Linked DNA regions of Mus musculus. The main gene of each other region encodes a partner of the protein of the gene in region 5 in a complex. Links are inferred from orthologs where the notes say so. Each region holds a gene or a part of one and is shown on either strand. Other genes may lie near its edges. The genes, in order: Bet1l, Vti1b, Stx18, Stx5a, Bnip1 and Stx7.

Region 1 (4,147 bases), on a different chromosome or scaffold from region 5:
CCTAGCCTCCCATACACCTGCCCCACCACACGCCACCACAGAGCCACCCGAGGGACCAGCCCACCACCCACCGCCGTGCTCCCTGCCACCACTCGCACGCACACCCCAGCCGAGTTGCGCGCACACCCCTGCTTCCTCTCTTCCTGAAATTTCCTCGGCAGCCGGATGCCTCTCACCTCCCGGTTGAACGACCGCAGAGCTTCTGTCACCGCATCTTCCTCTCCGGTCTCCAAGGCATCCGCAACTGCCCGGGGCTCCATGGCCCCTGGCACCGGGTGCTGGAAGGCTTGGGCTGGGAAGACGCAATCGGCCAAACCCCGGGGCTCCGCCCAGGTCCGGAAGCCCGGCGTCCACGCGTGAGGGATGCTGGGAGAGCAGCCGAACCCAAGGGTGTGTACAGGCGCCTCCGACTTAAGGTGGAGCAACCCGGCTGTGGTCGCTGAGCGGCTAGTCTTGGAGCGGCGATGCTAGCTAACCAGCCAGGCAGTGTCCTCCTTTTGAGCCCTCCTCTCTAGCCCGAGTTCCTGGCAGGCGGGGGGTGGGGTGGGATGGGAGGGTGGGGAGTGGGGTGTGGCTTGGCCCGCGCGTGGACCGTCCTCTTTACGCTCTTGTCCCCGTACTGTGATAAAAAAGGGAGCGCCGGCTCCTGGCCGCTTAATCAGTTGGGGAAGACGATTCTCGCGATCCAGGCCTTGGAGCTCATCTTCCATAGGGAATAGGGAAAGAGAAGTACAACGACTTGGATGGTCAAAATAATGCACGTGGTTAGCCGGGCATAGTGACGCACGCCTTCTTAAATCCCAGCACTCGAGAGGCAGAAACTAGCAGACCTATCTAAAAAGAATAGCCACCAAAGTAATACGGTTATTCTCAAGAAAATTGCAGAGAAGGAAGTGAAGAACACCCGTGGAAAAGCCACTCCCGCGAGAGGAGCAACGGAGGGGCGGCCAGCCGAGGCGTGTCTGAGGTTAGAAGCGTAGGAGCGCTGTGTAGCGGGGAGCCAGGTCCGCACGCCACTTAGCTGAGTCGGTGCCCCACAGTGACACATACAAACAGTGCTCCAGTGGATGATGTCACCCGCCGTGCTAACCGGCTCTGCCCCTACTCAGTGGCAGGCCCCGGCCGTCTCCTTCACCAGTCTCTTTCGGGTCTGCCTGTCCTCCCCATCCAGTTGGATTTAGCAGCGCCAGAGGCATCCGACTGATTTACTGAGCTGGTTCCTAGCCTCTGCTCCAAATTTGGGTCTGAACACCTGCTCCGAGTAACACCCACAGCGCAGGACTAATATTGCTGACCAATCCGTGGGTCCGAATGCTGGTGGCCCGCCCTTCCCTTATTTACATTCCCGAGAAGCACTCCAGGTCTGTTTCTTCCGCTTCAGAACCTTCTCCCGGAAGTTATTAGCCCGGAGGCGGAACCGGAAGACCCGGGTACTGGTGCCACGTCCGTTGCTGTGCTGCGAATTCCCTGAGTGGGACCCTGGAGGGCGCGATGGCAGATTGGACTCGAGGTGAGAGCACTTGAAAGGCAGTAGAGGTAGGAGGGGAAGTCTAAGTCTGGAGCTGGAGACATCGCTCGTTTCTCGGTGGAAGGACCTGCGTGGGGTGGCGCTTACGTATCCCTGGAAAAACAGGGCCGGATTTCGCCTGGCGCTGCCTTGGAACCCAAGCCGGCATGCCATCAGTTTTGTGTGTGGTTGATGCCAAGAGCTGGAAGCAGAGGGTCCAAGCAGGGTTTTACTAATGAGGGGCCTGAGTGCCTCGGTTCACACACATTCCCCGCCCCCGTGCCTGTGTTCAGTGTGACAGTTGTGATACTGATGCTTCGCCCACAACGATGACTATGCAGTGGTCGGTAGGACACAGCCGTCTGTCTTTCAGAGTCTGGTCGCACTTGTTTGCTGGTGCTGCTGGCCTTCCCCTTAGGTGGGTCACATCGAGGCTGGGTGGGTGGTTTTTATGCTTCAGATCGGTGCTAGTCACACTTAGGGGGGTGATTCTCAACTACCTGTCCCTGTCCATCGGAGTTAGGTTTCCACGAGCACAGTGCTCTGGGCATTCCAGAGATTCTGTGTGGGTTGCAGACATAGGGCGAGGTAGTTTCTACAGTAGAAGGACTTTCTTACACTTACCTTGGATCTGATTTCCAAGTCCTCCCCACACAGCCTTCCTGTCACCTGCTGTGCCACCGGCTGTTCTGTTTTCCCTATGGTCCCTATCAGAAAGTACTGTTTCCCTTTGAGACCGGCCCCACACCCTCAGATGACAATTTCAGCTAAGGCAATATTCACTTCGGTTCAGGAACAGTATACAGCAGGGTCGTGTATGTAGATTGATTGGATCTTCAGGCTCCCCAGCCCGTCCTTGCCTGGGCATGCACACAGGTTCTCACACGACCCATGCTACATGTCTGATGTGTAGGTGGTCAGCCTGTTGGAGCATAGGGTGGGACGTGCTAAGTTAGCAGAAGTATATGGGGGAATGCGCTTAGATGTCTCCACTGGAGTGAGGAATCAGGGACCACATGTCTGAGGGAATGCTATCCTTCCGCCTCTTTCTCTCACAGCTCAGAGCTCTGGTGCTGTGGAGGACATTCTGGACAGAGAGAACAAGCGGATGGCTGACAGCCTGGCCTCCAAGGTGACCAGGCTTAAATCGGTCAGTGGTGGCCCTCTTCCCTTCCGTGAGATACTTTGGTGGGTGGGGCTGAGAGGGGAGGAAGGAGGCCGTGTGCTGTCTGTGGGCATTGCTGACTGGAGAAGTGCTTCAGGTAATAACTTGGCCTTTTTTTTAGCTTTCTCTGGTAATAGGTACTTTTCAGAGTCGTGGGTAAAATGTAGCTGGTCTGAAGGGAAGGTGGGCACTACTCTCTGTGGCTTTGCTTGACGGTGCCTTCTGTATCCCAACCAGCTGGCTTTGGACATCGACAGGGACACAGAGGACCAGAACCGTTACTTAGACGGCATGGTAAGTGCCCGCGGTACGGGTACGTACAAATCATAGTCAGCTCCGCCCACCTGCCGTCTGCTCTGCTGGGTCTTCGCTGCTAGTGTGGTTGGGTAGTCAAGGGTCCCAACTCTATGTGACCCTGTTGGGTCTCTCCCACAGGACTCAGATTTCACAAGTGTGACTGGCCTACTCACGGGGAGTGTGAAGCGCTTCTCCACGATGGCACGGTCTGGGCGAGACAACCGGAAGCTTCTGTGTGGTATGGCTGTGGTCTTAATCGTGGCCTTCTTCATCCTCTCCTACCTCTTGTCGAGGACAAGGACGTGAGCCAGTGGGAGCCAAGGGCAGCCAGGCTCTTGTACACCTGGCATCCTGGTTTCCTAAGGACCTGACTACAAAAAAAAAAAAAAAAATCCCTTTGAAATTATCATCATGGGTCATTCATCTTCCTAAGTCAGGACGACTGCAGCTGCCTCTGTCATAATGAGCTCATCTTGGCTTGTCCTGTGTATGAAGGAAGAAGAAAAAGGCAAAAGCCAATGCCACTCCCTGGTGCTAAAGACACTGGCAGAGCCAGAGCCATGTTGTGTGAGATCAAGCCAGGTCTATGCAAAGCATCTGTGAGTCCCAAATGGGCCCACTGTGGCCATCGGCCACACTCCTCAGAAGCCAGGATCTTAAGGGCCTTCTGGATTGCCCTAACCTGTTTATGCCTGGTTTAAACCCGTGTCTGTGTCCTTGAAGAGTCTGAAACTGACACCAGAAGGGAATATGGCCGTGAGCCCTCTCCAGATGATGGTCATTGGCTGAGGCTGCTGATGAGGAGTGGACCTGGGCAGGCTGTACCCACCAGTCACTGGCAAGAGGCAAAGCCGTGGATAGAGGAGTGGACTGCAGTCCAGAGGCACTGGACTAAGATCCTTCTGGGCCACAAGGCCAGGTGTCCAGGAGCACAGGCACAGATGTGTGTGTCCTTGGGATTGAGAATCTTATCAGTGTCAAAGATGTCTCCATCCCCAGACAGACAGACAGAGAGCTGTACCAGGTGGCTTTTCAGAGCCAGGCCGTGCTGGGGTGCTCTCTCTGCTGGGGATCCTTATGGGGCCGGAGGCCACCTAGGAAAGCATTTGTGTAGTGGGAGCTTTTGACCTTGTACTGAACCTTGCCCTACCCTGTACAGCCAGTCTCCCTCGGTGTGA
Region 2 (4,015 bases), on a different chromosome or scaffold from region 5:
CATGCAGTAAAACAAGAAAGCATAAACTGTCCTCTGAGCTCTACATGTATACACACAACAAACAAAACTGAGGTCTCAGGTATCGATACTGGACTTCAAGCAAATTAAAATGGAAAACTGTCAATAATTTTATCACAAGGACAAATGTCTCCAAGTACCAGAAAACCAAAACCTGAAACAATAACTATTAGCACTTAACATATTAATCAGATGACAAAATTCCATCCCTTCTGAGGCTTTAGAGAAACCTCTTCAGATGATGCAAAGCCAAGATAAGAAATTACAGCTGTAGGTGATGAATGCTATAATTAGGCTAATACTTACCATACATGGTAAAACTGTTACTGCCACAAAACCCTCCTAAATTAGGATACATGGTGGCAGCTACCCTTCAAGGGCCATGAGAATACAGACTATACTTTGGGGAAATAAGTATCTCTTTCACTCTGGTTGTTTTAACCAATGTATATACATCAATATGAAGAGTAATGAAAATGTGAAAAAAAAAAAAAAGAGAAATTATTCTGCTTCAATACCCAGGTACTTTCTTCTAAGACCTCATAGACCTTCTAAGACCTTTAACAACCAAAAATTGATTTTTACAATAATTTAACAAATACAATATGTAGTTTATTTGAGAAAGGGTCTCACTGTGTACTCTAGGCTGGCCTTGAACTCATGGAGATTCCCTGCCTCTGCCTCCTAAGTGCTACTAAAGGTATGCACCACCACCCCAAACATATCTAGTAAATATTTGTCAGATACCTAGGATGTGCTGTGTACTGTTCCAGGGAGTTTAGGACACATGCTAAACGATCAAACAAACAAACAACAAACAAAAATACTATTTCATTTCCAGTTCACTGGCTCTCAAACTTAAGCCAGCACTAGAAATCCCTCGAGTGTAGTTAAGGCAGACTGCTTGCCGTAAGCTTTGGATTCTGTGAGTCAGAATGGGGCCTGAGCATGTGCAGTTCTCAAGTTCCCAGATGGTGTTGATGGGCTGATTCACAGACTACAATTCCAAACTACTTTCCTAGTAACACAAAAACAATACACTGTATCATAAATATGCAAAGTGATGAGTACATTAGAAAATAGTGTTCTGAGGCTGGGCAATGGCAATACAAGCCTTTAATCCCAGCACTTGGGAGGCAGAGGCAGGTGGTTTGAGGCCAGCCTAGTCTACAGAGAGAGTTCCAGGACAGCCAAGACTACACAGAGAAACCCTGTCTTGAAAAACAAACACAAACCCAAAAAAACAAAAACAAGCAAGCAAAAAGAGCATCCTAAGAATAACTGTGTAGAGAGCTAATATTTCTAAATAAAACAACAAACACATATTAATAATAGCTGGTAGCTCTTACTGTTGCCAGACGGTGTTTTTAATAGCTTTACATATCTCATTTACTCCCCACAAAAACTCCATGAAGTCAGATGCTACGTTTTACTTTATAGTGGAAACTAGTTTGGTTAAAATAACTTGCAAAGTCACATAGCTAATAAAAGGTGTATGTAACTTAGATAATCTGACTCTAGAACTCTTTTCTTTCCTTCCTTCCTTTTTTTTTTTTTTTTTTTTTAATTTTTGATAGAGTCTCAAGATAGAAGAATCTAGCTGGTCTGGAACTCTGTGTTGCTGTGTAAAACCAGGCTGGCCTTGAACTCACTGAGATTCTGTTTCTACCTCCCAAGTGCTGGGATTAAAAGTGTTCACCACTGGCAATCTCTTGAATGGCAGAAAAATATTTTGTCATACACTGTTATCTTTAATGCACAGGTAGACATTCTCATCTCCAGCTCAAACGAGTATGCGCCTCTTATTTAAGTTCATTCATTCAACTGATCACGTGAGAAGACACGGCCCCTTCTCAATCTTCCTCCTCACATCCACCAGTCTCATAAATCTCGGCACCACCTGTTGGATTTAATGCTCACTCTCCAGATTCGCATGCTTACCCAGTCAACTGTCATAGAAGCTCCTAACACAGTCTCTTATAGCCATTCTCACATCCTCTATCCAGCTATCCGCCGCCTTGCTTCTAAAATGAAATCCACATTACTCCGCTGCTTATGTTCCTTAAGGATTTACCCTAGTACGTCAAAAAAGTCTAAATGTGAGACTTCCGGTTCCTCTCCAATGTAGCTGTCTTCCTCCCCTCACCTCCCGCCACTGTCTCACATATAAGCTAATCTCCATGGTTACAACTATTTTTAAAATTTCATTGCCTACCAAAATGCCAAACTCCTACATGCCCAACTCCAAATTAAGGGTTTTTTTTGTTTTTTGTTTTTGTTTTTTGTTTTGTCACAGGAGCACAGATTGAAGAATGCCCTATGCTACTGGGAGAGGAAGATAACTAAAGGCTCGCTAGGAGAGGACATCCTAATGTCTATCCCTTTGCACGCCCCCAGTCACCACAAGAGGCAGCACACCCTGGGCGTCCGGGGCCCGACAGCAGCAGGGGGCGTGCCCAAAGGGGAAGCGGGGAGCCCCGGGTCGGTGTTTGGGATCCTGCACCCTGCGGAGTCCTCCCGGCCTGGTCCCGCCCCCGCCTCACCTGTCCCCGCGGTCCCCAGCAGCCGCTCCGGCACCCCTTGTAAGTCTTCAAGGAGGCCGCGGAAGATCTCGTGCAGCTTCTCGAAATGCTCGGAGGAGGCGGCGGAGGCGGCCATGGCGCAGGTTGCGCGTGAGCTGCGGCCACCGGGCGCTGGGCCCACTCCCACCTCAGCAATCAGCTGCCCAGCCCCGAAGCCATCACTGCAGCCGCACCTCGGCCTCCCGGAATCAGGCGCTTCCGGGGTCCTCGGAGCCGGACGCCCTCCCCCTGCTTGTCACTGCACGGGCGCCGGGCGCCAAAGCCTGACAAGAAGCCGGGGCGGGGACGACACTCAGCTACTACAGGGGCGCGGTCTCGCGCCAAGACGAGCCGGTGGCTCCGACCTGGAGACAAACAGTGGGCACAGAGGAGGTACCAAAGGGAAGGGCCCGAGGGAGCCCGCGGGACTGGCGCCTCGGCCGCCTCATCCGGGCCCGCCGGTCCTGCAGTGCATACTGGGAATTGTAGTTAAGTGAGGGAGGACGGCCGTGCAGGGAGGGCCCGGAGTGCCAGCGGTGTTGCGCAGACTGGCTAGCACACGCCCCTCGCTGTCATCGCAGTTCCTTCTGCCACCTGACTTCATATCCCGTCTAAATGTTCAGTCTCAGCCCTAGATAGATGAGCAGAGGCCTGCCTACCCTCGGATGGTATAACTCTAATAAAAGTGGAGAGATTAAGTGGCCAGGGTCACATGTTTTCAGAACCGGAAAATGGGCAGTGTGATCCCAGAATACCCACAGCTTTTAGCGGCTGAACCAGTCCAGACCATTAGGCTGCCCCGGGTTCTCATTCACAACATGTTAAGAATAGACATTTTGATAAACCAAAGTTATATATTGATCAAAGTAATTTTGTCTCTGCCCTTGGGTAATGTATGATTTGGTGTGGAAGACAGACCCATCTTATCTGCCCTTATGTGAAATATATCAACAATTACGAAGTCCTTTCTGTCCTTCCATAGATATAAACCCCTGTGTATACTGTTGGCAGGGTTTCCAACAAAGGGCCCACTCACAAAAGTTTTCGTGGTGATTCAATATTTATACATGGAAATATATATATATATATATATATATATATATATATATATATATATATATATATATATATATAAAAGGGTGTTACCGAGGGGTACAACACTTATCTAGCATAAGCAAATCCTATAGTCCATCTTCTAAGGTGTGTGTGGGAGTGGGTTCCTGGTGATTTTTGTCTTTGAAGCCCTGGGTTTTACAAGCTTGAATCCACCAACCGTTAAATTCAATGAAAAAATAAAAACAAAACGCAGTGTGCAGGGATGACAAAGTCTGATGTTGTTAGCAGTGGTGCGAAGTCTTAATATTTTTCTTATAAAATTAAAAGGTAGTTCAAGAGTGTTGTTGTTCAATTTTAATCCTAGCACTTGGAAGACAGAG
Region 3 (3,500 bases), on a different chromosome or scaffold from region 5:
TTGTATGGCTAATGTGTTTCAAAGCCTGTAACATCATGAAGCTGGCTTCTAGACCTTATAAAGAATAAACAATGCTAGAGGAGAGGCCAGTATCAGCAGTTCATATTTGTCCTTGTCACTTGGTGAGTGACACAGGAGAGATAGGAGATAGTGTGAGCTGTACAACCTGACAAGAGCCTTATCCTAGTCCTGCCACTCAGACAGTATGTGACCCTCTGTAAGCTAGTAGATATCTCTGAGCCATAAATTTCCCTCTCTTTGTGTTGGGTGATGCCCACCTCTCTGGTGACGATTCCCAGGCTGTGTGGGTGCAGCCTCTAGACCTTGGAGCCTAAAAGACTGTGATTCCCTTTGCTGTATGGCTAGCCAGGGTATGTCACTGGATTACCATGTAGAGAACATATTCATGGTGGCATATGTGGTGTTACTACAGCAGGGCACTACCTGGCTTGGTCAGAGTCCCACCGAAAGGCCTGCCATGGGCCAGATAGGTCAGTGGTACTACTTGCTGGCTCTGAGAGAGAGGCCTGGAGCACTAGCTGTACTTCAGATAATGGGGCTGAGGAGAAGTACTGGCCACAGTGCACAGGGTGGAGTATCCACAGTGCAACCTGGTCACCCTGAAAGCTTTATGCTTTAGACAAAGTGACTCTCCCCAAAGTGAGCTGCGGTGCCAGCTCACTTGCTTTGATGGCTTCCTCTGTCATGCAGCTGACATGGCCATTAGGCCAAGGGTCTGCACAAAGTCTGTCTCCAGGGTTCATGGCCTTCACACACGTGGCTTGGGTAGATCTTTAAGATACTTATGAAGAGGGCTGGAGAAATGGCTTGGCAGTTAAGAGCACTGACTTTTCTTCCAGAGGTTCTGAGTTCAATTCCCAGCAACCACATGGTGGCTCACAACCATCTGTAATGGGATCTGGTGCCCTCTTCTGTTGTTTCTGAAGTCAGCTACAGTGTACCCATATAAATAAAATAAATAAATCTTTTTTTTTTTCTTTTAAAAAAGATACCTGTGAATCTTATTCTTATGACCGTGTACTCCCAAATGTTGTTAGCTTCTACCTCATCCATGCTGACTCAACTCTGCTGTGAGGTTCAGGCAGCTGTGAGTGAGCCAACGTCCCGGAGAGAAGAGGAAGGTATGTTTTAGTCCTAAGCTCACCGGGGAGCAATCTTCCCCCTCTCAGCTGTGCTCCAGGAGCAGCAGGGGCTGGCTGAGAGGCTGTCCCTAATTTCTGGAGCACAGTGGGTTGAAAAGCAGCTCTCCATTCTGCACCGTGCAGAGTGCTTCTGTGCTCACCTGTGAACACAACAGCAGCCCTGTGGTCTCATCCCTTTCTACAGATGGGGGTGGGGGATGGTGTGGAGGGATTGCACCTTCCTAGTACCACTGGATGCTCTAGCTCACAGGGGCCACTCTGCTCCTCAGCTGTGCCCCAGAGGGTTGCTGCGGGCTGATGGAAGCTAGGTCAGGGTGCTCTGAGTGATGTGACTAGCTAACAGAACATGGTGCTGTCTAGTCGGCATCACTCAGAGGCTTCTGGAAGAGGGCTCCAAGCTCTCTGTCAGTCCTAAGTCAAGACTCAAAACTGCTGGGCTCTGGATCCTTTTACCTGTTGCAAAACCTTTTCGGTGAATATCTCTTGGAGTCTGGAAATTTCAACGACTTTCCCTTCGATTTGCCTTCAAAAAAAGAATGGACAGGTGACATGTTAGCTGTTAGCTCCTGGTAATCTAAGATGAATGGTACACTTTTCTGAAGGAAACATTAAAGTGATAGCAAAAGAGGAAGGGCAGCCATGCCAGACAGGAGGAGGAGCTGGGCAGGCATGGTAGGTCCTCTGCATAGCCTAGTTACCTTGTGATACATGCTGGAGAAGCAAAGGCATGGTTACTTTGAAAGCCCATCTTTAAAAAAAAGTATTATTTCTCTCTCAAGCCAGCTCCCTATGGCAAGACAATGCTGCAGTACAGTCTGTGATCACCACGTCTGGTTTAGCAATCATGTGCTTGCCCAACCTGAAACACTGGCTGAGCCTTTCCACCATGGGGCAGGCTGGGGCTGAGGGGCTGAGAGTGGAAGCTGGCTCAGACTGACCTTCCCTACTCCAGCACAGCTGGGTCAGGGGCAGGAGAAAGGTGTGAGTGGCGAGGGATTCCCTCTAGAAAATATGGGAAGGGCAGACAGGAGACATGGAAGGAGCAGTACCAGGGCATGGAGAAGAACAGCAAGTGGATGGGCAGAAGAGGCCCGAGAGAGCCACCTCTGGGACAAAATAACCCTGGGGCTGTCCCAGGGAGTACCCCTACCCTGAGTAAGTCCCAGGCCGGGAAGGGCCACACTCTGAATGGAATGGGGTCCTGCAAAGACTCAGCTGTTGCTTCCACAGCACTGCCACGCTCCTGTGGAACACGGGCGCTTGCAGTTCACTGGCAAGTGGGTGTGAGCCTGGTCACCTGGAAGCAGGACTCCTTCACAAGGCCCCCACTGCATTTACAGCCACTCCACCCAAGCAGCCCCGTGCTAGTGCTATGGTTCTGCGTTTGGGACAGACTGTCTTTAGTGTGTGCTTTCTGCATGCTGCAGCACCCACAAGCTTACTGTAGCAGCCAGGCTCCTCCCACAGGCTCAGCCGGCCCTGCCCTGTTACACGTGGGTGCCTGGATGCCAAAGCAATTGGAAAGAGCCCCCAGTATCTGGGAAAACTGTCATCAAGCTACTAGCTACATACATACCTCACTTCGTCAAACAAGCTGTTCATTTCACCAATGAGTCGCTGATTTTCTTGTTCAAACTGCAAAGAAGCACACACACTCAGAATGATATCAGATGGGACTCAAGAAAGGGGCAACAAGGAACCTTTGACCTTCCACCCACCTTCTAAGGATCCCTGCCCAGTCCCGTCGGCCAGCACAGGGTATTGCCAGCAGATTGTCTGAAAAATACTGTACTCTGGGAGGAAAATGCTTGCCAGTCCAAAGACCAACTGTGCTACGCTGACTTCAGAGTCCTCCTGGGTCTGAACTCAGGAGCAGCTGACACTCAGACTAACTGCTGAGCAGAGGAAGCTGCCTCTGCGGCTTCAGACACACTCCGCTTTGATTCCACGGCTGCCGCCTATCTCCAGGTGCAGCATTTTAGACAGAGAACTTGGTGTGGGGAAGACTGAGGGGCAGAGGCTGGCAGGCTCCTTGGCCTGTGACAGGGACAGACCTTTGACCTCCCAGGGCCTTGTGTGACAGCACCAGGGCTGCCCACTGCCTAGAGGTAGCCCCACTGCCCTTTTAGAGTAAGCTCCACACCTGCTTCATACTGGCTTGTCCTAGTTTTCCTTCTGTGGAGTACAGTCTAGATCCTGAGCAGAATGCTCTGAAAAGAACTCAGGTAATACATGGCTCCTCGTGTTGGGCTCAGTACCCCACTGCCTATGACAACAGTGCACTGCTTCCCTGTTGGAGCTACCTGGCCCAGCAGAAGAGGCCTCAGGTACATATTA
Region 4 (2,170 bases), on a different chromosome or scaffold from region 5:
ACAGGGTTTCTGTGAAACTTGCTTTGTAGACCAAGTTGGCCACAAACTCAAGAAATTCACCTGCTTCCAACTCCCAAGTGTTGACTGAAACTTTAATGTCAAACCCAAGAGCTCTAGGAAACTTTTCTGGTGTGGCTAGGACTATTGCAGCCTTGGATCCAGATGCTGCTGTGGGAGGGGGAAGCAGATGGGGTGCTGGTAGGCATGGAGCATGACTTGATTTGAAGATACAAAACAGGCTCAAACTTATGGGTACTGTCTTGGAAGTTGCCGCCCAATTATGAACCCACTTAGTCCAAAGGAAAACTCTTATGAAGTGCTGCTGTACTTGGCTACTCGCTTCTAGGGGGGAGTTGTGTGTACAGAGCTCCGGAGCTACCCTGCCTATCAGTAGGGGCCCATCAGAGTCACTGACTTAACCCTTTTGGTTCTGGTATTGGGCAGTGGTTAGCTTTTTGCTGAAGTCCCCCCCCCCCCCCCAGAAATGACATCAACACTAGTGAGGCTGACAGTCTTGCTGTAATTGGGAGGAAATAGGCTGCAGCATGTTTGGCATATTGAGAGTCACCAGTAGCCAAAGTCAGGTTTGTGCAGGCAACTGTAGGGCTCAGAGCCCCCTCACCTCACATGGTGAGGAGAAGGCGGCAGTCAAGTTCTAGCTGACCCAGATGATGAAGTTGGTCCCTTGGATACTTCTTGAGGATTCTTGCCTCTCAAGAAGGAAGGGCGTTTTCTCCTCTTGCTGCCAGTTACGTTTGGGGGAGGCTGGTTATAGGCTTATAAAAATCTCAAGGTGGAGACAACCTCCCCCACTGGCCCCTAGCTGGCTTCTGTTCCCAGCCTCTTCACAGCAGAGTCCAAATCCAGAACCAGTGTGTTTCATGGGCCTGAGGATAGGACAGAGTGGCCAGAGACAAGGGTGGGGAATCAGGGACACTGGCCATTCTTAGCAGTTCCAAGGAAATGGCCTTTCTCCCAACCACCTTGCACAGGCTCAGTGGCAATAGTAGCCACCTGTCCTCCCAGGAGGATCCCAAGCCCTCCATGGAGTGGCTCAGAATGAGGGAGGAGGGTTCAGGCAAGGAAGACCACAAAGATGATGAAGAAGACAATGAGGATGAGGAAGATTTTGACCATGAGCCACCGATTGGAGGTAACTGACTGGAAGTACTTGAGGATCTCTGAATGGGCTGCCTCCACATCCAGCTGGGCTCCAAGCACATTCTCGTCGATCCTGGAGACAGCCAGGAGATAAACAGAAGGACACTGGGTTAAAAAGAAGATTGAAGACATCCATTTATTGATATGGAAAGGTGATTACAATATGTGGAAGTAAAAAGTGTTTCATACTGTGTGAACTTTTTTTGGTTTGTTTGTTTGTTTTTCAAGACAGGGTTTCTCTCTGTAGCCCTGGCTGTCCTGGAACTCACTCTGTAGACCAGGCTGGCCTCGAACTCAGAAATCCGCCTGCCTCTGCCTCCCAAGTGCTGAGATTAAAGGCGTGCACCACCACTGTCCAGCCTGTGTGAACTCTTGTATGTGTGTGTGTATAGACACACACACACACACACATTTTTTGAGGGTAGTAGATCATGCTCGCCTCTAGCTTTAAAACGTTCTTCCAGTTATTAGCTTATGATTGAATTATTTAACCAGTCTTCCACATCTGAAAATTGAGGTAACTGATATAAACCCTACCTCCTTTCATGAAGTCTCAATTTTCAGTGAATTAAATGAACTTCCAATCTAGGAGCACCCCAAATGCTGCTTTACTCATTAACATTTCCTTTTTTTTTTTTTTTTTTTGTAATGAACATGTATTGCATTGTGCTAATTAGTCAGAAAATCCTGGTTAGGAAAATCTTAATATAGACAGGAACTCAAAGGATAATACAACTCTTATAACTAACCAGAGAACATTATCTTGGAGGAACCACTCCTCAGAGGAAGGACAATTTTGAAAACTTACTAAAGCAAACAAAACTTCCAGCCAATCTACGTATGCAATCCTAAAACCCAAATATAGTGGCTGAGTAGACAGCTCAGTAGGAAAGTGTTTGCTTGGCAACCAAGAGGACCTGAATTTGAATTCCAGCACACACACACAGCAAGCTGGCTACAGTCTTAACTGTGCCCATAACCAGAGCACAGCAGGTAAGTATAGAAAGTA
Region 5 (4,195 bases):
TCTCATTTGTGTTTTGAGACAACACTCGCACCACAGGGAAAGTGAGGTCATGAGCATGAGGTGGGGGCGGTAACTCCAGAAATCGGGAGGAGGCTACTACTGTGCAAAATAATAGCACCGGAAACACCAAGGAAACTCTGGCAATGGACTCAAGTAGGGAATGAATGAGTGTGTAGGTTCCAAACTTTGTTAGTCCAGTCACCCTCACAGTCACAATGTTTCCTACTCTCTCCAGGTGGCATGTGAAGGACCTGGTCAACTCTCAGGCAAAAATTCTTCTTGGCCAGAGCACGCACCCCTGCTACCCACCCTTCCAGAACAGGCTTTGTAGCCTCACTTACCTGGATCCTCTGTTTTAACTGTTGGAACTTTTCTTTCACCTTAGTATTCAGTTCAGTAAGCTCACTTAAGGGTCCAGAACAATCTCGAATATCCTGGAAGGCAAGGAAGAGATGAGGGACCTTTCTCCCGTCAATGAAATGAAGTGTCCTCATCGGCACAGTGAGAAAGCAGATTCAGACACAGCTAAGGTGGCCCAAGCTCTACCTTGTCCTGCTCAGTGCTGCTCTCCTCCACACAAGAGCAAACTCCTCATTTTCAGCTTCCTCATTCCTTGTAAGATTAACACCGAGAGCCTAATATGAATAAACAGACTGGATGCACAGTTCAGTAGTACAGCACTTGCAGAGCATACTTGGAGCCCTGGCTTTCAACAGCAGCAAAACACACACACACACACACACACACACACACACACAGAGAGAGAGAGAGAGAGAGAGAGAGAGAGAGAGAGAGACTCATGTGCACGCATGCACAAATGCACACAGACATGAATACACACCCCTGCATGCACATAGACTCCATATGCATTGTGTGTGTAGATAGGTAAACCTCAACCTCGTCTTAGATGTTTAACAAAGTGCCACTAGGAAAGGCTTAAACAGCTTCCATGTTCAACAGAAATAGACATCTAAAAAATACTGTAAGTTCAGATCCTTCCAACTAAATCCCTAGTGACCTGTAACAAAGTTAATTTAGTCTGATTTTTACAAACCATCTGTCGCAAGTCAAAAACGTTTAAAGATGAACTGAGAATTTGCTTCTGGAAAGAAAGTCAGAATTATGAGAGCCAAATTTTAGAGCAGGTTCTAGACTTAAGCTACATATATTCAAATCCTGCGTATAGCAATTTATTAGTGCAGTCTTGGAAAACTTCAGTTCTCTGTGCCTCCATTTCTTCACCTTACCTACGTCAAGATGGTATTTCTCTGTGTAGAACACTTAGCAGAATAGCTGGAACACTGAAAGAATACAATGTATGGGGCTATGCTTACTCACTAGTAACCATAAGAACCCAAAACACATATGTCACCAGAGGCCTACCTAACAGGAAACTATGATAATATGAAGTATTATGATGCTATTACATAATTTTATATTATGATATAATATGAAAACCCAACTTTTCAAATTTTGGATATAAGGGTTTTTTTGTTTTGTTTTTTTGAAGACTCTATGTAGTACAGGCTGGCCTCAAATGCATGATGGTCCTGCTTATGCCTCCCAAGTGCTAGAGCCACTACCCTAGCAACTCTGTGTTATGTATGTATATGTATTTACATGTGCATTCTGAGGACTGAAACTAGAGCCTTGCACATGGCTAAACTTTAACTCTACTCTGAGCTAAATTTACCCCCAGCCTCTGGTAATCTCACTTGTATAAATCTTGTTTATTTTTCTAGAATTGGCCCATTTTTTTTGTTTGCACATCTCAGGAGTAAAGTTTGCGGCGTTTCTTTACCTGTTCTCTAGCTTACTCACAAAATCAACACTTCCTCACAGCACAGGATAAACTGCTAATGTGGCAGAGTGTACATCTGGCTTACCAGAGAGCACTACTCTCCATGCTCCTTTTTATAGGGGCTAGTAAAGCCAAGCTTACCCCAACAGCTAGGCACAGCCCATTTATGCAGCACTGGGGATGGCGAACCCAGTGCTGGGCAAAGTCCTCACCAGCGGAGTCACACCCCTACCCTTTCCTTATTTGCTGTCACAGCTTGTATTCTGAGCCGGTTGGGTTCTTTTTGCCAAACTCTGGAGCCATTTCTACATTCCCTGTTCTTGCTTGTGTTCCTGCACTACTGTCTCCTACTTAAGACCTGCTTCCAGATAAGCGCCTCATTTTCCAGTCTGTTTCCGGGTAGGGAAGCTCTAAAATGATTTTCCTAGGCTGGCTTTCCCCATCCAGGTCCTAATACTGGCACTGCCTGCCTTCTGACCCAGGATCTTGCACAATATTTGAATTCTTTGTTCAAAAAATTACAACCACGTCCCAGGTTAACTTAGTTAGCTTCGGGCAGGGACTGTCGGGCCAGGTGGCTTTGGGTGCCTCAGGGTCCCTAACTTAGGGAAGTGGGCGTGGGAGGCGAGCAGGGCGAGGGGTGGGGCGGGGCTACAGCCGAGAATGCGGGTGGGCGGGCTAGCCCAGCACGGCTGCAGTCCAAGGAAAGGGAGCGGCGTGTTAGGGTAACTCAGGGGTGGGCAAACCAACAGTTCACAAAAGAAAAGCCTGAAGGTCAGTGATCTCGGGGAACCGACCGAATGGTGCCTTAGGAGCCATCCTGGAACCGGACCAGGCGCGAATATTCTGGAAGATGTCAAGGCGGCCATCGAGAGCCGGACAGGAGCCTAAGAATTTGTACCTGGATAAGCGCCTTCACCTCTAGGTCGAATTTGACAATCTCTTGGTTACAGATCCGGACGTGGACATCCTGGGGAGCCGCCATGTTGGAAATGCGGCTACGGCGAGCGGCAGCAGCCAAGCTTGAACGCGTTCACGTGGCTCCTGCCCGCCTTTCCGTACTTCTTCAAATGTGATGCTGCGGGAGACCCCGTGTGGATCAAACCAGGTCAAGAGTCCAGACCTGAAACTTTTCTTGTCACGTAGAACACGCACAGCTTCTCTGGTCTGCTCCTACTAAACGGAAAAGTGGAATGTGATTATGAAGAACCATTAGAGTTGGGGTGGGGGGGAGGGGAAAATACAACTCAGGTGATGATAGGCTGGCATGCCACATGGCCTTCAGGTTTGTTCCCAGTACTAGAGATACAACAACAACCCGCTATTCTAGTGACCTTTTGGATGGAAAAAAAAAAAGGATCAATTCGGATGTCACCAAAGTTACATTTTTTTTCTTTAAAATTTAAAGCAAAATGTATACAGTAGGTATGCATTATGGAGGAAGACACAAAACTTGTAAAGGTGCAGACTTAAATACAGGTCACTGGGGCACCTCCATTAGTACAACCATGATCCTGCATTGTTGTCCTTACACATTTCTATGGCTCTGGTCCTGCCCTTTGTGTAGAATTGGATTCCAAGTATCTCATAGGAGTAGTTCTGACTGTGTGGTGTGATAGAAACAATGTCAGTGCAAACCTCAAAGAAGGGTAGTGTTTTTTAAAATTATTATTTCTTAAGCCCTCAACACCACTGGACACTTTTCCCCCACCCTCCGGGATTCTCCAGGCTCTGTCGTCTTGGATATGGGTTCCCTCTTTTTAAAATGTTTTTCTCAAACTGCACACACAGCCCCCAGTCTCCACGCCTACCTGTCCCAAAGCACCCTGTACCACCCACTTCCTAAAAGGTGCTCAGTAGCTGGCTGCAAGTATCAAAGGCCTGGATTCCAGGCTTGTAATCAGTTTCCTCAGTAGCATCACTCCTAAGTTAGGTCACCTAGAGGATGGAATGAGGTGTTGATAATGTAGCATTGAACTCAGTGCTCACTAGTTGCTATACATGTACTGTTAAGAAACACTCTGGGAGTTACTTCCCTACGTGCGGCCATTTTCTATGAAATGCTTCTGCCCAGCAGCTGCACTTGATTTGTTAGGCTATAGAAGTGGAAGGAAGAGGGGGTGGAGGACGATGACAGAACACACGGGACAGGTGAAAGGCCCTAAGTATTTTCTTTGCTTTTCTGAGGCAGGGTCTCACAGAGCCCAAGCTGGTTCCCAGCTACCTATGTAGCCAAGGATGACCTAGAACTGCTGGAATTACAGGCACTGATTAACACCGCAGCTACTAGACATGCATTTTAGCTCCACACAAGCTTTCCTATATCCTTTTTATCTGGGTGTGGTAGCATATGACTTTATCCCAGCACTCAAGGGGTAGAGGCAGGGAGATCCC
Region 6 (3,990 bases), on a different chromosome or scaffold from region 5:
CACTTATGTTTATAGACAGTTATTGACAAATGGCTCTGAAGTCTGTTTTTACATGTGAGCTAATTAACTCTATGCTTATAAAATGTTTGTACTCTATAACCATCTGCATTGCCTAGCTTGAGCTGCAATACTCAAAGCATTTGTGTCCTAGTGTCTTTGCTCAAAATAATTACATCACTCCTCATGTGCACCTGCACTGCCTGCACACAACTATCAAAATGAACTAAGGTAGAAGAAGGCCACCTCGGCCACCTTTCAAGTGCTAAGAAACTGTATGTGGCCAGTGGCCAGCAGCTGGGACAGCTCACATATTCCCTTCATCCCCCACAGAAAGTACTACTGGGCAGGGTTCAACTCAACAGCTCAGTAATTATCTTTTTATGAAGATAAACACTAAGGTGAAAGAGGAGACGGGAGAGTCAAACAGTAACACCTATAGTGAGCGCTGTCTCAAGACTGTGTGGAAAGGGCAATTTAAAAATGAACAAAGGGGATTTTGATACAGAGTCTTGAATGTAAAACACTACCCTGTAGTTACTAATGGACATACTGTAGAATCTTGAAGACTTCCTCTGAGCAGACACTGGCTTAAAATTTAGCCTGCTCAAATCAAATGGTCAGTTTCACTTTCTTAATCATGAAGCCCAGCATAAAATATGAGTTTCCTCCTTTGTTCCCCAGGTTTTAATTTTTGTGTGTGTGTGTGTGTGTGTGTGTGTGTGTGTGTGTGTGTGTGGTGTGTATGATGTGTGTGTATGGTGTGTGAGTGTGTGTGGTATGTGTGTGCAGTGTATTGCGTGTGTGGTGTATATGTGTGTGTGGGGTGTGGTGTGTACGTGTGGAGTGTGTGTATGGTGTGTGTGTGTGCTGTGTGTATGTGTGTGTTTGTGTGTGTGTGTATGTGTGGTGTGTGGGGGAGTGTAAATCTTGGACTTAGTCTATTCTCTAAGTACTTGGCTACAAAGTAGATCCTGAATAAATGTTGTAAGTCTGAATGAACAAGTGTACCGATTTCCTATGAACACATGCCCAGCCTAAGAGTAAATATAAACATTTCTAAAATACTGTTTCAGGCTTATTGCTACCTGGGCTTTTCTCAGTGTCCCTTTCTATCTGTAGATGGCCCTTTCCATGATACACACCCAGCCCCTTTGAGGACTAGCTCTTTGTCTCAGTAAGGTGTTATCACACACTAAAGATGCCAGGTCTGAAATGAGAAGTCTCTATCAATGTAACTTCTACTTCAAGCGATGCATCATACTTAGAAGATGGGAGCATTCACACTCTTTGTTTTCAATTCCTAAAACAAACAGGAGAGGAATCATAGGAGACAATCAATCATGAGGGTGCTCAATCTTCCATATGAGTATTCGGTCCACAAGTGCATCTTTGCCCAGCTCCTTCATCAATCCAAACGCTACACTGTTTGGTTTCAGCTTAATTAACCAAGATTTTTTTTCCTCCACAGTTTCACACATTAATATTTCAAGTTACACTGAACCAGAGAAAAATCCACACAGACTTAACTGTGGGAGTTTTATCTAGCAGTACTAGTAGACATAGAGGTAATATTTCCCTGCAGTACTGGGGACTGAACCAGGGCCTTGTGCACACACCATTTAGTGGCATATAGCTCAACATAATTATTCATAATTTTCCACCAGCAGCGTATGGATGAACTTGGGATAATAATCAGAATTAGAAACGACTGTTAATCAGGAGCAGCATAAGAAGTGAGCTAGCTGAAGGAAAAGAACCCAGAGGTCAGTGAGTTAATACTGTGTTCTATTAACTTCCCCAGACACTGGGAAACTACAGCCTCGTTCTTAACTAGTCACAAGCCTGGGGGCCAACTTCGAAAGCAGCTTGCAAAGCCGAAGACCCATCGGCACCACAAGGCACAATTTAACAGTGTTATCAATCTCTGTTCACTGCGGCTCAGAGTACACCTAAAAGAAATGCCTACCTCCAACAGGACCAAACCAGTGTTTCACAGTTAATTCCTTTTATTTTCCTGATTGTGGAAAACTTGTAAATAATAATTCCTGACAAAATACGAGATCTGACGCAATCAAAAATTGATATATGCATATAAAATGCAAGCAAAATTTTAACAGCTATAAGGAAAAATTAGCATTTGACTGTAAAGCTTCCTTCCTCTTCCCACCCTCGTCCAAGCTTTTTTTTTTTTTTTGGTCTGAATTTAACCTAGAAAACACATATGCGAATTCTCGAAATACCTTGTTACCTTGTTATGTGTCTTGCATAAATCAATTGAAACGAGCACAAGGTAGGTCAAAGAAAGTTAGCTTGTGTGAGTAAGGCCAACAGCCAAGCAAAGGCCCTGGGCCGCGGAACGAACCTGTGGCCAGATGACCAGGGCCCATCGCGTTTCCCTTTCTGTTCTTCGGAGGAGAAGTTGACAGAGAATGGGAACACGGTCGTAGCCTGCCAGGATCTGGCGGTAGTATCCGGTCCCCAAGGCTCCATTGCCGCGCGCCCCGGTGCTCGCACGTCGCGTCCCGGAGTCCGGAGCGGGGCGTGGGAGCCCGAGAGGGAGGCGCCGGCCCTGCGCCCTGGGGAGCCCCGCTCTGCGCACCCCAAAGCAACCACTAGCGAGCTGCAGTTCTGAGGTGTCCCTCCCGCCCCCCTCTCCCCCGCCTCTGCAGTCTCCTCTTACCCTGACCTCGCCGGCTTCCTCGGCCACCTCCAGCCGCTGTCACCCGGGGGCCCACTGCCTGGCGCAGCCGGTCTCAGCTGATGGGCGGCGGCACAAGCACGCCCACTGCGCATGCTCGGGGCACAGCCCCAGGAAGGAGGAGGCGGGGCTTGCGTCTCTCCCATTGGCCAGTGACAGCTGAAGCTTGGAGGGACTGGCAAAATTGCTGGGGAGCCAAGCTCTGATGGGTGACAAAGTGATGTCTATGGGCAACAGAAGAGGAAGCAATACAATAGAGAAGAGCTGGGTTCTTTATTCGGAGGCGCCAGACTCCCTGGACTGAGGGAGCACTCTCAGCTTTTAAAGGTTCTGTTTCCTAACCCTCAGCTCTGTGGTAGACTTGACAACTCCATTTTTAAAATGTCACTGCAAAAATGTCAAGGCAATCCTAGCTAAAGCCCCGGAAGGATAAATGAAAGATAATCTCCTAATGCCCACTTGATAAAGATGTTTTCCTGGCTCATAGTTGGTATCGCATCCTTGAAATACAGGATGTGGTTTTCCCAGGCTTTAAGAGCACACACTGTTCCAACAATAACTCTTCAAGCATGTGACCTCTCGGATGAGAAACATCAGTTGTTCATGTGAAAGAAATACTTTGCCAAATTAATTAGAATAGATTGCCTTGGATTTGCCTATAATTAAGATGGTGTTATTTCTGGAAAGAGCATGAAAACACATGATACCAAAAGTTCGATAGACTTCAAGTGGAGGTAGGGGGAATCCATACTATTGTGAATCAGAACCACAGAGCAAACTGTATGTTGGTTGGTTTTACACCTGCAAGCATACGTAGATGACTTAGGTCAGACTCAAACACAGCGTCTTCTCAGTAGGATCCACCCAGTGGATCAAAGAACATGTACTCATTTAAAGTCATGTGATTCAGCTCGGGCCATGGTGAACTGTTGAGGTTTGCTGTTTTGTCCAGCACTGGAAATTGAACCAAGGTCCTTGGACATGAGAGGCCTTCACTCTGTCCTCTATCTCCAGTGGTTTTTGTTGTTGTTGTTGTTGTTTTTGAAACAAAGTCTACACAGGTTACCCAGATATTAACCTTGAACTCACTCTGTAATCCAGGTAGACCTTGAACTTGCAACCTGCCTCATCGTTCAGAGTACAGACCTGTATCATTGTCCCGGGTTGTTTGTGGTTTTGTTTTGAGGAATGAGGGATCAAACCCAAGGCCTCACATTTCAGGTAGTTGATCTACCCCTGAGTTCTACCTATCATCTCCACTGTGAACTTTTAGAAGTATTAGTCCATCATAG

The links.
Region 1: Bnip1 (region 5) and Bet1l share a complex: the UniProt entries of both Homo sapiens proteins name them as parts of the SNARE complex. The link is inferred for Mus musculus from reciprocal best matches to the Homo sapiens genes BNIP1 and BET1L.
Region 2: Bnip1 (region 5) and Vti1b share a complex: the UniProt entries of both Homo sapiens proteins name them as parts of the SNARE complex. The link is inferred for Mus musculus from reciprocal best matches to the Homo sapiens genes BNIP1 and VTI1B.
Region 3: Bnip1 (region 5) and Stx18 share a complex: the UniProt entries of both Homo sapiens proteins name them as parts of the SNARE complex. The link is inferred for Mus musculus from reciprocal best matches to the Homo sapiens genes BNIP1 and STX18.
Region 4: Bnip1 (region 5) and Stx5a share a complex: the UniProt entries of both Homo sapiens proteins name them as parts of the SNARE complex. The link is inferred for Mus musculus from reciprocal best matches to the Homo sapiens genes BNIP1 and STX5.
Region 6: Bnip1 (region 5) and Stx7 share a complex: the UniProt entries of both Homo sapiens proteins name them as parts of the SNARE complex. The link is inferred for Mus musculus from reciprocal best matches to the Homo sapiens genes BNIP1 and STX7.

Annotation. Positions count from the first base shown.
Region 1 is NC_000073.6:140,853,584-140,857,730, reverse strand, and holds the start of Bet1l (BET1-like protein), read left to right. Parts: upstream 1-1,347; 5' UTR 1,348-1,491; coding exon 1,492-1,510; intron 1,511-2,565; coding exon 2,566-2,657; intron 2,658-2,909; coding exon 2,910-2,966; intron 2,967-3,107; coding exon 3,108-3,275; 3' UTR 3,276-4,147. Other genes in the region: Ric8a (synembryn-A), read right to left, coding at 177-260. UniProt on the Homo sapiens protein: Vesicle SNARE required for targeting and fusion of retrograde transport vesicles with the Golgi complex. Required for the integrity of the Golgi complex.
Region 2 is NC_000078.6:79,169,659-79,173,673, forward strand, and holds the start of Vti1b (vesicle transport through interaction with t-SNAREs homolog 1B), read right to left. Parts: upstream 2,801-4,015; 5' UTR 2,677-2,800; coding exon 2,562-2,676; intron 2,043-2,561; exon of another isoform or gene 1,960-2,042; intron 1-1,959. UniProt on the Homo sapiens protein: V-SNARE that mediates vesicle transport pathways through interactions with t-SNAREs on the target membrane. These interactions are proposed to mediate aspects of the specificity of vesicle trafficking and to promote fusion of the lipid bilayers.
Region 3 is NC_000071.6:38,126,230-38,129,729, reverse strand, and holds part of Stx18 (syntaxin-18), read right to left. Parts: intron 2,799-3,500; coding exon 2,740-2,798; intron 1,687-2,739; coding exon 1,617-1,686; intron 1-1,616. UniProt on the Homo sapiens protein: Syntaxin that may be involved in targeting and fusion of Golgi-derived retrograde transport vesicles with the ER.
Region 4 is NC_000085.6:8,753,973-8,756,142, reverse strand, and holds the end of Stx5a (syntaxin-5), read right to left. Parts: intron 1,355-2,170; exon of another isoform or gene 1,235-1,354; coding exon 1,075-1,234; 3' UTR 501-1,074; downstream 1-500. UniProt on the Homo sapiens protein: Mediates endoplasmic reticulum to Golgi transport.
Region 5 is NC_000083.6:26,779,684-26,783,878, reverse strand, and holds the start of Bnip1 (vesicle transport protein SEC20), read right to left. Parts: upstream 2,801-4,195; 5' UTR 2,787-2,800; coding exon 2,703-2,786; intron 613-2,702; exon of another isoform or gene 547-612; intron 435-546; coding exon 342-434; intron 1-341. UniProt on the Homo sapiens protein: As part of a SNARE complex may be involved in endoplasmic reticulum membranes fusion and be required for the maintenance of endoplasmic reticulum organization. Also plays a role in apoptosis.
Region 6 is NC_000076.6:24,148,099-24,152,088, reverse strand, and holds the start of Stx7 (syntaxin-7), read right to left. Parts: upstream 2,801-3,990; 5' UTR 2,681-2,800; exon of another isoform or gene 2,363-2,680; intron 1-2,362. UniProt on the Homo sapiens protein: May be involved in protein trafficking from the plasma membrane to the early endosome (EE) as well as in homotypic fusion of endocytic organelles. Mediates the endocytic trafficking from early endosomes to late endosomes and lysosomes.